Kluyveromyces lactis: one gene and its partners. The main gene of each other region encodes a partner of the protein of the gene in region 2 in a complex. Links are inferred from orthologs where the notes say so. Each region holds a gene or a part of one and is shown on either strand. Other genes may lie near its edges.

The links. Proteins that work in one complex are often made in the same cells at the same time.
Region 1: the proteins of TIM9 (region 2) and TIM18 are in contact, whole or in part, in a cryo-EM structure (PDB 6LO8), measured with the Saccharomyces cerevisiae proteins. The link is inferred for Kluyveromyces lactis from reciprocal best matches to the Saccharomyces cerevisiae genes TIM9 and TIM18. Residues at the interface, in NP_010894.1 of Saccharomyces cerevisiae: Asp42, Thr44, Thr45, Ser46, Lys47, Leu48, Thr49, Asn50, Lys51; in NP_014940.4 of Saccharomyces cerevisiae: Val105, Asn107, Pro108, Glu165, Thr166, Lys167, Asn168, Asn169, Lys177.
Region 3: the proteins of TIM9 (region 2) and TIM10 are in contact, whole or in part, in a cryo-EM structure (PDB 6LO8), measured with the Saccharomyces cerevisiae proteins. The link is inferred for Kluyveromyces lactis from reciprocal best matches to the Saccharomyces cerevisiae genes TIM9 and TIM10. Residues at the interface, in NP_010894.1 of Saccharomyces cerevisiae: Glu17, Gln18, Gln20, Met21, Phe24, Met25, Tyr28, Ser29, Asn30, Leu31, Val32, Glu33, Cys35, Phe36, Thr37, Val40, Asn41, Asp42, Phe43, Thr44, Thr45, Ser46, Lys47, Leu48, Glu52, Gln53, Ile56, Met57, Ser60, Glu61; in NP_011869.1 of Saccharomyces cerevisiae: Gln16, Gln20, Leu28, Lys35, Asn39, Lys43, Cys61, Arg64, Cys65, Ala67, Lys68, Tyr69, Glu71, Thr72, Asn73, Gln75, Val76, Gly77, Asn79, Met80, Met83, Phe87.

The regions. Positions count from the first base shown.
Region 1 is NC_006042.1:2,329,851-2,334,803, reverse strand, and holds TIM18 (Tim18p), read right to left. Parts: upstream 2,541-4,953; coding exon 1,959-2,540; downstream 1-1,958. Other genes in the region: alpha-factor pheromone receptor STE2, read right to left, coding at 6-1,316; MUM3 (Mum3p), read left to right, coding at 2,999-4,015; GTPase-activating protein RNA1, read right to left, coding at 4,170-4,953. UniProt on the Saccharomyces cerevisiae protein: Component of the TIM22 complex, a complex that mediates the import and insertion of multi-pass transmembrane proteins into the mitochondrial inner membrane.
Region 2 is NC_006041.1:2,033,412-2,038,143, reverse strand, and holds TIM9 (protein transporter TIM9), read right to left. Parts: upstream 2,028-4,732; coding exon 1,764-2,027; downstream 1-1,763. Other genes in the region: ALF1 (Alf1p), read left to right, coding at 65-817; URA3 (orotidine-5'-phosphate decarboxylase), read right to left, coding at 2,346-3,149; KLLA0_E22749g (uncharacterized protein), read left to right, coding at 3,757-4,732. UniProt on the Saccharomyces cerevisiae protein: Mitochondrial intermembrane chaperone that participates in the import and insertion of multi-pass transmembrane proteins into the mitochondrial inner membrane.
Region 3 is NC_006042.1:2,402,192-2,406,676, reverse strand, and holds TIM10 (protein transporter TIM10), read right to left. Parts: upstream 2,229-4,485; coding exon 1,959-2,228; downstream 1-1,958. Other genes in the region: GPA1 (guanine nucleotide-binding protein subunit alpha), read right to left, coding at 1-80; cytochrome c1 heme lyase CYT2, read left to right, coding at 846-1,661; SDD2 (Sdd2p), read right to left, coding at 2,660-3,061; RCO1 (Rco1p), read left to right, coding at 3,343-4,485. UniProt on the Saccharomyces cerevisiae protein: Mitochondrial intermembrane chaperone that participates in the import and insertion of multi-pass transmembrane proteins into the mitochondrial inner membrane.

The DNA of each region.
Region 1 (4,953 bases), on a different chromosome or scaffold from region 2:
AGTGTTTATCTTAATTCTTTGAATACGGTTTTCGATTGCATTAAACCGTCATCTTTGTTTTCATGAATTGCATTCACCCAAAATGCCCTTGCCTCTTCATCAGCATCTGTTTCTGAGGTATAGATGTTGGAAGCTTTCAATTGTTTAATCACTGTTGCATCTGTTGATCCTGGAGAAGAAACAAAATCGGACCTTTTTGCTCTATCCATAAAAGATTCGCCAGACTCTAAATCCATCTCCAACTGTGTAGATAGTTCAAGTTCCTTTGAACTACAACCATCCGAAGTTTGTGGTGAGTTACTGAAAGAGTATTTGTCACTAAAGGCTTTACCATAAGAGTAGGATGATGAATCATCACGATTTTGTGCAGAGTAAGGGTTGAATTGGCGATAGAAAGTACTGGCACTTGGTGCATCATTTGCAGCAGCAGCCCAGATAGATGTCAAAGGTAGGGAAAGAACTACAAGCAATGTAGCAATAGAAGTCAACGACTTAACTCCTTTATTGTTCAGCGCGTAGGCGAGAATATACAAAACCGATGGACCTATTAATGTCTGAGTAGACATGATGAGTAGAATGTGAAATGAGTCAAATTGTTTCAAACCTAAATGTCTCCTAGCTCTGAAAGCCAGGAAAAGTTTCACTGATAGAAGAAGAGTGATGAAATTTATTGAACATGCAAGTAAAATAACTGCTATGTTGTAATAATATGTGTCAACTTTGTTCAATGGACTATCATACACTACAATAATAGATTTTATTGCAGTAATCATCCACATGGCTACAGTTGCAGCACCAAAACTAGCGGAGACGCCAGTCAAAATGATTCCTATCTTCCTATATCTATCTGCTTTGAAAATGACTCTTACCTGAAAGACTAACGAGACCTCAATACACGCAACCAATAGACATTGAATTAGAGTCACGGCACCGTAAAGATGTTTGTCACGGTCGCCTATCATCTGTGGGAACAAAGTTAGAGCAAAGGGAACTCCTCCAAAATTGCTCAACAAATATGATAGATATAAAGCAGATTGAACAATTGTAAGAACCAAAGAACTCTGATTTATTATGAATATCGGCGTCTTTCTATTCTTAGAGACCATCCACATTATAATCAACGCTAATCCAGCAGCGCCGATCCTTGTTCCAAAAATAATTGCTTGGGTGATGTTTTCATGGACAAGATTTTGTAGCTGTTGAAATGTTATTTCAGTCCCATCTCCGTAAATTGAACTGTATGTTAGGACGGACTGCAATGGATTATATGTCTCATTGTAGAACAATGGGTTCAAACTGGGTATCTCTTCTGACATGTTAAATAAGTTAATGCTTATTGTCAAAACATTAAGGGTACTTTGACGTAAAAATTTGAAGGATGTCAAATCAACATTGAGTCTCTCAATCTCACCTTGTATCACAGAGAGGTGCCTTTATATAGTCACTTTTGAAGTATGTTCTCTTGACATGAATAAGTTTCATGAAGGAATGAAAAAAAAAAAACCTCAATAAGTTTCAAACCCAAAGCACATTTAGTAATCTCCTCAACTTGAGGCGGTTTTTCTTCAGCAGAGACGAATGCAAAGTCTTTTGCATTCAGGATTTTATTTCATTAAATTGTGTCAAACCGGCTGTAATCTATGTGATTGCCAAAAAAGGCAGTTACAATGAGATTGGATCAACAACTTTAAACGCATGTAATCATGGGCAAAAAAACGAACAGCAAAATACCCAAAATGGTCTATTCAAAGTTAGATTGCTTTACCCCGTTTGAACTTTTGGCGAGGAAAAGGACCAGCTGAATCATCAGACTCAAAGACTAAATTAAGACTATGGTAAGAATAAATAACACTAGATGTAGCACTAATAAATAATAATGATAATAAATAAATGAGAGTCTAATCTGCTTGGAGGTCAATTCTCCGATGAATTACATATTGCTTGGACAGAGTACCACACTAAAACCTTCCAAATACATATGCTCTCGAATCCCCCTTATCTTTATCCCAAAGAGTAGAGACCAAATCTATTAGTCCGTTATTTTCCGTTTCTAAAACATAAATTCCGTAAAGACTGAAGGAGCTTCCAAGTGCCAAAGCGAATTTAGCAGCCTTGTGCCAGAATCCGAATTTTCTCTTAGGGATATAGTCAATAATGCAACTTGTTATACCTAAGTACGCATGTATTAGTATTGTACTGGCCAATAGAGAATCAATCACTGGGAAGGGGAAACCTGATGCAAAGGTAGCAGAAGACATAGCTCCATACAAAGGAACCATTGTCAAAGGAACTAACGACACTGCAGTGATACGTTCATAATCCCAGTGATACGACCCATGGAACCAATTCGGTTCTGTCTTTGGTAAGTTATCGTTTACGTTTCCGGTAACTCCGCCTGGAGGTGGTGGGATTAACTTGTACTTCGCAAACTTACTGGAACTAAAAACAGCTGGTAGCCTGATACCTCTCAACTGACGATGAAGCAAAGAAGTTCTTAACATGACTGGAAGTGGCTTGTTTATCATTGATCTGGCAATCATTATGTCGTCTTGGCTGCCATCCTTACTTTTCAGGTACTTTTCGATGTATGCGAAGTGATGAGATGAGCTTAGTCAAAAAATATTTCATTTTTCACTTCATCATCGATAATGAGATTGGAGCAAAATTGATGAGATCTGAAAAGAATACAGAAGATGCAGAATAACCAGAAAGGCAGTTATAGCGGTAGTGGTTTCTGTTAGAGGCTCTATGAATTAATTCAATCGTAAAATTTACATTCTAATTACAATGTATCGGTGACAAGTTTTTCTAATGTAAACTAAACGATGGTCGTACTGTTTACGTTTTCCTATTTTTCACTTGAAACTGTTTGTCATGCGACAAAACAAAATGGTTAAAAAGTCTGTGTCAGTGTGGAATAAACACAGAAACTGTTCCTAACTAGCTAGAAAACGATCCATTACAATCGTTTTCTGTTAGGATGAAGAACTAGTAAACCATGTCTGTACTGAGTACGTTGCAAACAAATGTCACGGGACCATGGTTTTCGATACAAGACAAGCATCTTATAAAATGTGTGGCCTATTCATGGTTTTTGTTTATACTTTTCATACTTCAGTCAGTGCTAGCAGGGTGGATATGGTATATGAATCAATGGTCCAGAATCATTTCATCAAAGTATTATTACAGGGGTATTATGAAAACTGAGAAGATTCAAACCATGGTTAATATATGGATTAATGAATTCATTATATGGAGTGTGCTAAGAGAAGATATCCAAATTATTTACGAGGGGGAAACAATCAACACAAAATGTAAGAACCAACTAATACTAAGCAACCATAGATCAATTATCGATTATACTTTGATTCAATCCCAGTTCGGAGCTGAAAATGTAATTTTCGCAGGTTGGACTCGTTTAATGAAGTATCCCAGTTTTAAGCATTTTTGGACAATATTCAGGCATGATGAGAATGACAACGTTTCGGTATCAAAGATTAAGAAGTTTTATGGGCCTGAGAATTTGGTAATATTTCCCGAGGTGAATATCTTCACACCAGAAGTTAAATTGATTGAAAGAAAGTTAATGAAATTGAAATACAAAGGATTACCTGTTTTGCATAACGTTCTATACCCCAGATTTGGTACTTTCGTAAATCTGATCAAAGCTTTTTCAAACAGCAATGACAGAAAATGGTGTCGCATGTTGGAGTACCTTATTCTTCCGACAGAACCGATATTACGTGACTCAATGAAGTTACTAGATTTAACTTTGGTTTATTACAAGATCACGTTGAACTCAATGGGTGAGTATAAGTTGGAGCAAACAATTCCAGCTCTATGGGACATATGGTCGTTGGAATCACCAATGATACTATGCATCCACGCATCGTACCATGATGTTGATAAACTCACTAAAAAGAAACCCAAACAACTAGAAAGTTGGCTAGAAACCCAGTGGTGTGCTAAGGATAAATTGATAGATACCTTTGAATTGAACGTGGAGATAGTCTAAAAAATGATACAATATTGTATGTGTACATTCCGGGTTGATGGTATTGCGAGAAATATAATGAGTTCTGTTTCAGGTTTTAGCTATTTATTACATTACAACAGGAAATTGGAATGTAGGACGTCATTTATGCAAGGATCAATAAGTATTAGTTTATTTATTCTAAATGAGTTTTTGCCAATTCGGATGCCAATTCATCGACGGTTTCATCCTTAACAAATTGTGTTGGTTCCCACACGTCTTCTTCCTCGGCGTCTTCGTCTTCACTTTCTTCCTCTTCTTCGGAGTCAATTTCTTCCAAATCATCCAATTCATCTAATTCGCCGTCGAACAAAGTAGGTAATATCGATAAAGGATCGGAATCCTCTTCTAATCTATTACCATTCAATTCCAACAATTTCAATGATGGTAAGTTACCATCTTGTAAAGCAGGAATTAATAAATGTTCTAAACTCTGTTGAGTTAATTCATTGTATTGCAACTTCAAAGTTTCTAAATCGTCGAATTTATTCTCCTTCAAAACTTTCAAGACTGCATGAGAACCAGGACCCTTCAACAAACAATCGTTCAAGTTCAATTCCTTTAGTTGAGCCCAATTAGTTAAATATTTTGCAAGTGTCTCTGATGCAACAGCAGTGAATGTATTATCTTGCAAATCTAATACATGCAAGTTTTTGTTGTGAGATAGCCCATGTTTGATCAAATTAATACAACCCTGTGGTCTAATTCCGTTTTGGTATAAACGAACAGCATGTAAATCATCACCATGAGCTCTTAAACCTTGAGATAGCCAACGCGTGGATCCATTTTCTAATCTATTTCTGCCGCAGACAAATGTTTCCAACAGCGATTCACCAGCCTTTTCCTTATTTTTGGCAAGTTGATATAAGGCCTTACCGATTCTTTCTCCCGCAAATGGACCCATACCGTTGTTAGCTAAA
Region 2 (4,732 bases):
ACGACAAACATTGAACTTACAGCATCGAAGACAAAATAAAACAGAGGATATATCAGCACCGATAATGTCATCTGACGTGGAAATTATATCCGATTTGGTTAACACTCAGATCTTTGTGAAACCTGGTACATCATGGGACCATCTGGGCCAAAGATTGAACGAATTGACCGGTGTTGATGTTCAAGACATGAAATTGGTGATAAATGGCAATGCACAGAACAGCAAGTATTTGAAAGATCTCAAAGACCAGAAAGTAGAGAAAATCCAGTCCATAAAAGTGATAGACACCAACGAAAACAGTTTAGCAAGCCAATTGAAAAATGATTTGCTACATGCTAATAGCGATGACGTTTCGTTCCGATACACCATGGACGATTATGAGAACAGAAGGGATTCTGTATTACAATGGAAAAAAGATAACAAGTTAGGGAAATTTAATCCTGAATACCGCTCTAAGATGGAAGAACAACTACAACTGAATATCGATAAGGCAGAACTATTACAAAAACACGTTGGAGAAAGATGCAGAGTACTGTCCAACGAGGAAACAACGACCGATTCCACCAAGGTCCCCGAAAGAAGAGGATGGTTACGATACGTGGGAAAAGTTCAAGAGATCAGTAATACAGATGTATGGTGTGGAATTGAATTTGACGAACCTGACGGTAAGAACAATGGTACATTCCAAGGAACGAAGTATTTCGGACCAGTAAAAAAGAATTACGGCGGGTTTGTGAGACCTGCCGTTGTTGAAGTAGGTCCTCAATTCACGCCATTAGCTGACGATGAATTGATGCTCACAGATGATGAGTTATAGGGAGTTGATAATTTACATAAGTTTAATTATATTCTCGTCCTTGGCCTCGTGGATGATACTCTGAACTACGGAAATGACACCTGACACACACGTGACAGGGTCTACTACTGAATGAATTCGTAATTGGTTTGAGTCGGGTGTTGTGCCGTAGCTGGTAAAAAGGCCACGTTGCGACTTCGGTTCGAATCTTCCTCAGAACACAAAGTCTCTGTTCATATGAACCTGGTTACAAAAAGATCAAATATGGCAATTCATTTCCTGTTCTCAACTTCATACTAAGCCCTTGAAGCGCTTCAAAGAATATTCACTCTTAAGTATAAGGTGGATGCTCGTTACTTTGAAGTGTTTTGAGAAGAGGTCATGTGATTTGAATGTTCTACTTGATCAGAGGAGTTGTTCTCCTCATTCCAGGTGGGAAATTCGGTGGAACGCAGCTGTCCGCTCGCCGAGGGTTCAAACCCCCGGTGAGTTATAATCAAGCAAATCCCTAACGGGATTTTCGCTTCGTGAGAAGGTTGTTTCTAATGGAACTTCAGCTTGAGCCCTATTGTCGTTGTTATAATAAATCAAGTCGCCAGTTCTTCTCTAATGGAGACCACGTGACATGGGAGGGACAACGGACGGACAGTTTAGCTTGTCATTTACGACAATGCCTAGTTGAGTGCAATGCAGGGAGTCTGCAACTTACGCAGATAACACAATACCGATTACCTTGTGTCTGAGGAGCATCTTTTTTTGGCCAGTCATATGGCAATGAAATGCAAACCTTTCTATATACAGAAACAGAATGAATATACATGGGAGAGATAGTCCTTAAAATCTATGGTAATCGTAGTAGCTACGATAAAATGTTATGATATAATGTTATAATATAATGTTATAATATAATGAAGTATGTACAGAATAAAATTTGAGGTTGGTAGGGAGAATTTCTTCTTTAAACCTTTTAACGACCCATGGTTTGATTCATGGCAGCATTTTGCTCTTGGAAACGTTGACCCACACGTTCACTGTGTTTCAAGAACTTTTCTGAACATCTCATTATACAGTTTTGTTCCTTAGAAGTAAGCTTAGCGGATGTGAAGTCGTTGACACAGTCGCTGAAACATCTTTCGACCAAGTTGGAGTATAGACGCATGAAATCCTTCATTTGCTTTTGTTCCACGATTTTTTGGAACTCTTGTTGTTCCTTACCATTAAGTTGATCCATTGTGTGCTTGCTTCTTTTCTTATCCGGGGTATATGATAATTAATCTTACCAATTGGATGACAAACAGTCTGGAGGAAGTTTGAGAGGGCTTATCGCAATGGTTGTAATGGTTTAAAACTCTTTTTCGATGATGTAGTTTCTGGTTTTTAAATCTCACATAATGAAAGAGAGAGAGAGAAGCAAACAAAAAATTTTCAGTTCAATACAACAGATCACGTGATCTTTTTGTAAGATGAAGTTGAAGTAGTGTTGCACCGTGCCAATGCAGGTGGCTATTAGATTAAATATGTGATTTGTTCTATTAAGTTTCCTGTATAATTAATGGGGAGCGCTGATTCTCTTTTGGTACGCTTCCCATCCAGCATTTCTGTATCTTTCACCTTCAACCTTAGGATCTCTACCCTTGGCGAAAAGTCCTCTGCCAACAATGATGATATCTGATCCACCACTTACAACTTCGTCGACGGTTCTGTACTGCTGACCCAATGCATCGCCTTTGTCGTCTAAACCTACACCTGGGGTCATGATTAGCCAATCAAACCCTTCTTCTCTTCCTCCCATATCGTTCTGAGCAATGAACCCAATAACGAAATCTTTATCACTCTTTGCAATATCAACGGTACCCTTAGTATATTCACCGTGTGCTAGAGAACCCTTGGAAGACAATTCAGCAAGCATCAATAATCCCCTTGGTTCTTTGGTGACCTCTTGCGCACCTTGTTTCAAGCCAGCAACAATACCAGCACCAGTAACCCCGTGGGCGTTGGTGATATCAGACCATTCTGCGATACGGTAAACGCCCGATGTATATTGTAATTTGACTGTGTTACCGATATCGGCGAATTTTCTGTCCTCAAATATCAAGAACTTGTATTTCTCTGCCAATGCTTTCAATGGAACGACAGTACCCTCATAACTGAAATCATCCAAGATATCAACGTGTGTTTTCAAAAGGCAAATGTATGGACCCAACGTTTCAACAAGTTTCAATAGCTCATCAGTCGAACGAACGTCAAGAGAAGCACACAAATTGGTCTTCTTTTCATCCATTAAACGTAAAAGTTTCGATGCAACCGGACTTGCATGAGTCTCAGCTCTACTGGTATATGATTTTGTGGACATGGTGCAACTAATTGACGGGAGTGTATTGACGCTGGCGTACTGGCTTTCACAAAATGGCCCAATCACAACCACATCTTAGATAGTTGAAATGACTTTAGATAACATCAATTGAGATGAGCTTAATCATGTCAAAGCTAAAAGTGTCACCATGAACGACAATTCTTAAGCAAATCACGTGATATAGATCCACGAATAACCACCATTTGATGCTCGAGGCAAGTAATGTGTGTAAAAAAATGCGTTACCACCATCCAATGCAGACCGATCTTCTACCCAGAATCACATATATTTATGTACCGAGTACCTTTTTTCTATCTTCCAATTGCTTCTCCCATATGATTGTCTCCGTAAGCTCGAAATTTCTAAGTTGGATTTTAATCTTCACGCAGGATGACAGTTCGATGAGCTTCTGAGGAGTGTTTAGAACATAATCATTTATCCATGGTCTATCTCTTCTTGTCGCTTTTTCTCCTCGATAGAACCTAAATAAAACGATCCCATTTAGCATCCAACACTACTTTTTGCTTTGATATAGTGTCCAGTTTCACATATTGACTATACCCTATCGGAGTTTTGTTCAAGTGATCATTAAGGGGAAGAGACAGTGATGTCTTCTGATGCCAACAAGAGATTGGAAGATGTTTCAGATAAAGCAAATGTCAATTCATTATCAAACCAAACCTCTTCTCTTGTGGGTGCTGCTACTGCTGGTGGAAGATCTATGGTGTATCAACTAACATCTTTTTACATGAGGACTCCGTTAAAATTGTTCAGACCAGCTAGATTTGACTATACTCATTACATTCGAGTACTTCTTACAGGTAGCGATAATACACAGTCCGAGACAAAAGTACGAAGTTCGAGGTATCGGTTTTGGAATCCAAAGTATACTTATTATTTGGAGAACTCTTCAATCGGAATCGTCACTAAAGCATTGAACAGATATGGTTGGAAAGTCATACCTGACAGAATTTTACCGCCATTAGTAGCCAATTCGCTGGCGGGAGTTGTGCTATACACTACTTATTTAGCCACTTTGAATAATTTTCCGTTGAGGGCTACAGATCAAGCTTTTCAACATAATATGTTTGATTTTTTAAGAGCAGGATTCCTTGCAGGTGCTGCACAAGCCATTGTCTCAGCTCCAATAGATGCCATTTATACAAGAGCAAACATTGATGAACTTTTATCCAGCGCAAAAAAATATGATAATCTATGGCTTTATAGTCGTGATAAGATCAGAGAGATTGGTTTGATTGGCTGCTTTGGTGGGTTTGGATTATCATTCATAAGAGAATCCTTTGGCTTTGCATTGTATTTCACTACTTTTGAAATGATCAGAGGACCAATTCGCCAATTGATGTTAGATTTTATCAAGAATTATAGGGAACTAAAATATACGGTGCAGAACACAAGACTCTCGGATATATTTTTCGATGAAGATGGTAATAAGATTGAAACGAAGAAACCAAGGTTAATTTCTCCTAAAGAGGAAATGTGGTATTCAAGAGTTTTCATTTTTATTGGAGGTGTTACAGCAGCTTTTGTTCTTCAATCGGTGCAATTCCCGTTCCTAAAGCTAC
Region 3 (4,485 bases), on a different chromosome or scaffold from region 2:
ATGAGATCATTTGCCCTTTTATTTTGAATGAAGGGATCATCCTCGTTCTCATAGTTTCCTGTACTTGCGACGCAACCCATAATGCTTAATTTCTTGCCGGCCAGCGTCAGTTTCTTTCATTTGTTTCATTTTCCTTTATAGTTCACGTTTTCGCCGTAGTTGGCACGATGTGGCCAATCCGTCTATATATATGTTAATATTAAAAGGTAACGTAGCAATATTTACTTTACATTCCTGATTTAGCATTGCATAGCCTTTATCATAGGAACCTCAAAACATGATGAAGCTTTGAGTCAAGAACCTCAACTCAGATACCCTAGAAATCTCACAGAGACGACAACTAAAATCAAGCTCAATTGGAAAATAAAACAAGCAAGTAAAAAACAAACAAGCACTTGACACTGTTTAAGGGTTTGCTTCCTTTTAAAAAACATTCCTAGCAACGTCCCTGTTTCAGATTTAGGTTGAAGTCGCTCTGCAGGTAATTACTGCACCACAATATGTTAACGGTGGCTGCAAGATCGATTGCTATGTACAACGGAGAGCTGTCTCCATCTGGAGGTCAAGTCACGTGAGAAACAAGGATGTTTGTCGCACATTCGGGTAATGAAATGTCATCTCCCGTGGATATCAATTTCATTCTGAAACTTCATCAATTTGATATCAATTGAAAAGAAATGAATGAAATGGAAAAGTATGCAGAACATGCGAATACAGGAAAGCTTATTCATGCGCATTTCATCAGGATAGGCTTGAACGCAATAGTTCGAAATATAGAAGCAACATCGTTGGCGGCTTAAAGGGGATTCGCGACTGTTTAGAAGCTAACTGTGGAGTGCAAAAGAATGCCAGAACAGCCTAAGTGTCCTGTGGATGACTCCACGAAGGAAGTGTGGTTGAAACAACAGAGCACTAATAATAAGAATGAATCAGCAAAAGCACTACCTCCAAATCATCCACCGGCTAGTTCTGAAGGGTCAGGAGTTTGTCCGGTAGACCATTCTTCCCAGGATGTATGGCTGAAAAACCATCTACAGACCGTTAATGGCTCTGCTGGCGGTGCTGCAGTTGCAGCAGCACCAGCACCAATCATATCGATCATCACTGAGGATGTCGAATGTTCAAGTGATGAGATACCTGAACACCCGAAATATACCACAGCTGTTAATTTGCCAACAGAGAGAGAGAAATCCTCCATTCCTAGAACCGGAACATCGGATAATTGGGTTTATCCATCAGAGAAGCAATTCTTCGAGGCAATGAAGAGAAAAAATTGGGATCCCGAAGCTGTGGATATGAAAGCCGTTGTTCCCATCCACAATTCCGTTAATGAAAGAGTATGGAATTATATCAAAATTTGGGAAGACGGACAAGGGGGAGATGTCTGTGGTGGCATCAAATTGACTAGTTTCAAAGGCGATTCAAAGAAGTTAACCCCAAGAGCATGGTTTAGATCCTCAATCCTTGGAATGACCAAACCTTTTGATAGGCACGATTGGGTCGTCGATCGCTGCGGGAAACAAATAGATTATGTCATCGACTTCTATTCGAATCCAGAACCTGAAAAGAACCACCTTCCTCCAATATATTTGGACGTTAGACCAAAAGTGAATACTTTTGAAGGTTGTAAATTACGCGTTATGAAAATGCTAGGATTTTAAAGACAGAAGGGATCGTCCAAATTTTCAATCCTAAGGGAAGATAATGGACAAAAACACATCACGGTATTAGCAAATACATTTATATCTCTATATTTATCGGTTTGATCGAGATACACAAACCTAATCGTTTGGTACTCCGACATTACCTCATTTTTAAAACTCTGTAAATAGATAATTAATATATATATATAATATATTTGTATATACAAAATTTGTCATATATGTACATGATAAAACGTGAAAAGTTGCGAAAAAGATTATGCACTAACGTCCCGGCTTAAGCTTCCCTCATCGGGTTTAGAATTTACCTGGAGAGAAAGCTTGGCCTAGCTGTTGCATGTTTTCACCAACCTTAACGTTAGTTTCAAAGTACTTGGCAACACATCTGTCGATACAAGTAGATTCGTTCTTGTTTAGTTGACCATCGTTATAAATTTGTTCAATACATTTCTTGTGACAGTTGTCGACCAACTTGTTGAACATGTCAGTAACCAAATCTAGTTCAGCTTCAGCTGCTGATAGCTTTTGTTGAGAAGATAATTGAGGTTGACCGCCTAGACCGAACATTTCTTAGAAGATGATTTTTATATGTTGTTATTGTAGGAGTGGTATTCCTGTGGCTATGAATAGAAGACTAATCACTACGATAAACTACGTCAATAAATATTTACAGATCAAACAACAGTCTAGTTGTCAACGCATTTAACTGCTATTAGTTAAATTTTAGTGAACTGCAATTCCTGACGAATAGTTGCTATACTGAAAATTTTCAGAAATATGAGGAAATATACGTTACCCGGTCACATGCACGTGATTTGGACATGTATTGATTTGACAGAGGGAGCATTGACCTATAGTAGTCATTGAACCTTTGGAACTACCGATTCTTGCAATTATTTGGTACTTATGAGGATTGAGTTCTCATTCGTTGTAATTATATATGCATGTATATCTTACTTTCTTTCTCTGTTAAAACCTGATATATTGAAGACAGATAACTAGTCAAAGAAATCATCGTCTTCATCGTCATCTTGATCCACACTAGATGATGCTGTTCCTTTTTCTCTTCTATCGAATATAATACGTGTAGTATTGCGCTTTTGCTCATCTCTTCCGACTGATTCGAGGATTCCAACGATGTCCTGCTCTGTTAATTTGTTTCTAATAGCACCGGACCGCACCATTTGTAGTAAATAAGCTTCTACTGCCTTTACACGTTCTGGCCGCACCAACGCTACCCTGCTCAATCTTTCTTGTGCATTGGAATCCAAAATCTGATTCAATATCGCTTGTGTTTGACCATCATTCGATCCGTTGTTTGCTGATTCTGATGTTCCTCCACTTTGTTGCTTCAATTCCCTCAATCTGGCCTCTCTAATGGCTCTCAATTCGTCGTCCATGGTTGCTTCTATTATTTTAATGTGACTGGTGACGCCTCAGCCTGTTCCCGTAACTATATACATTTTGATTCCATTATCATTGATATAGCTGGTATGTGTATACGACTTCAACTATCGAAGGTTCGTGATATTGGAATACAGAAAAAAAATAAAAAAGTGCGATACAAATTTAATTGAACGCATCTAACAATTGAATTAAATTATGGTTCAACGCGAAACAACGAGTAGGGGAAAGTACCGGCTAAAAAAATTACGTGCCAGTACATCTACTTTCCGGCTTCATGACAAAAAATATGGAGGTAACGAGGCCCAAACGGTCAGGTACTGCCAATGTGGATTATAATCTGAAAAAGAGACGGATTATTCCAAGTGATGATTATCCAACGAAAAGTACATCCTCAATATCTTCATCACCGTCCCAAGAACCATCGACAGAACCTATTGGACCAGTCATTCTTAAGGATAGTAATGGAAATATAACGTTTCAGGAGCCGCCAGTGCATGATCCAATAAATGCTATGACAGGGACGCCATTATCTCAGAAGCCGAAGGGATCGAGTAACAACAACAGTAACAATAATAATAGTACCAATAACATCAATAATAACGACAATGATGATAGCAATAATAGAAGTGGTAAACACAGAAATGGTAACAATAAGAAGAAGAAATCCAATATATTACAGGCATTAAAGAGCAGCATGGAGGCTAAATATGAGGGACAACTACAAACTGAAAAATCAAATGAATTGACCGTACAAAGTCATGAACGCATAGGAGCGAACACTCCCACTAAACACAACAAAAATTCAGGAATTAAACAAGAGGCTGACTCGGATTTTATGCTACAGGATCCTATACGAAATTCGCCCAGTAAATCGATAGCACTAAAAATGGCGAAAAGGTTGAAATCTACCAAGGATAAAGATACCAAGTTATTTGGACAAAATGATAAAGCTTCTCATTTACATATTCCAGAAATTGATCCGGATAATAACAAGGAAAATGACGATTTTTGTTCCAACTGTCATGGTCCTGGGGTGTTCTTATGCTGTGACACTTGTCCAAAATCTTTCCATTTTGCTTGCTGTAACCCACCTTTGGATCCAAGCCATCTACCAGAAGGTGATTGGTCTTGTGATGAATGCCGATTCAAGCAATGGATCAAGTCTAATAAATACGGACTGTCCTCTGAAAAAAAGTTGAAAACAAGGTTTTTACAAGACCATTTCAAGCAACCCGGGTATCAGTTATTCGGTACTCTAACATTTGATCTTCAAAGGAAAAATCCGTTCCAATTTCAATTGCCGTCTATTATCAAATCAACGTTCGATTCGGTCTCCTCGGGGTCGCAAGGAGAATATCGTGACGAACACTTTAAAGAAAATATCAATGAAAAACAAATTTTTCATTCCGCGTACGGG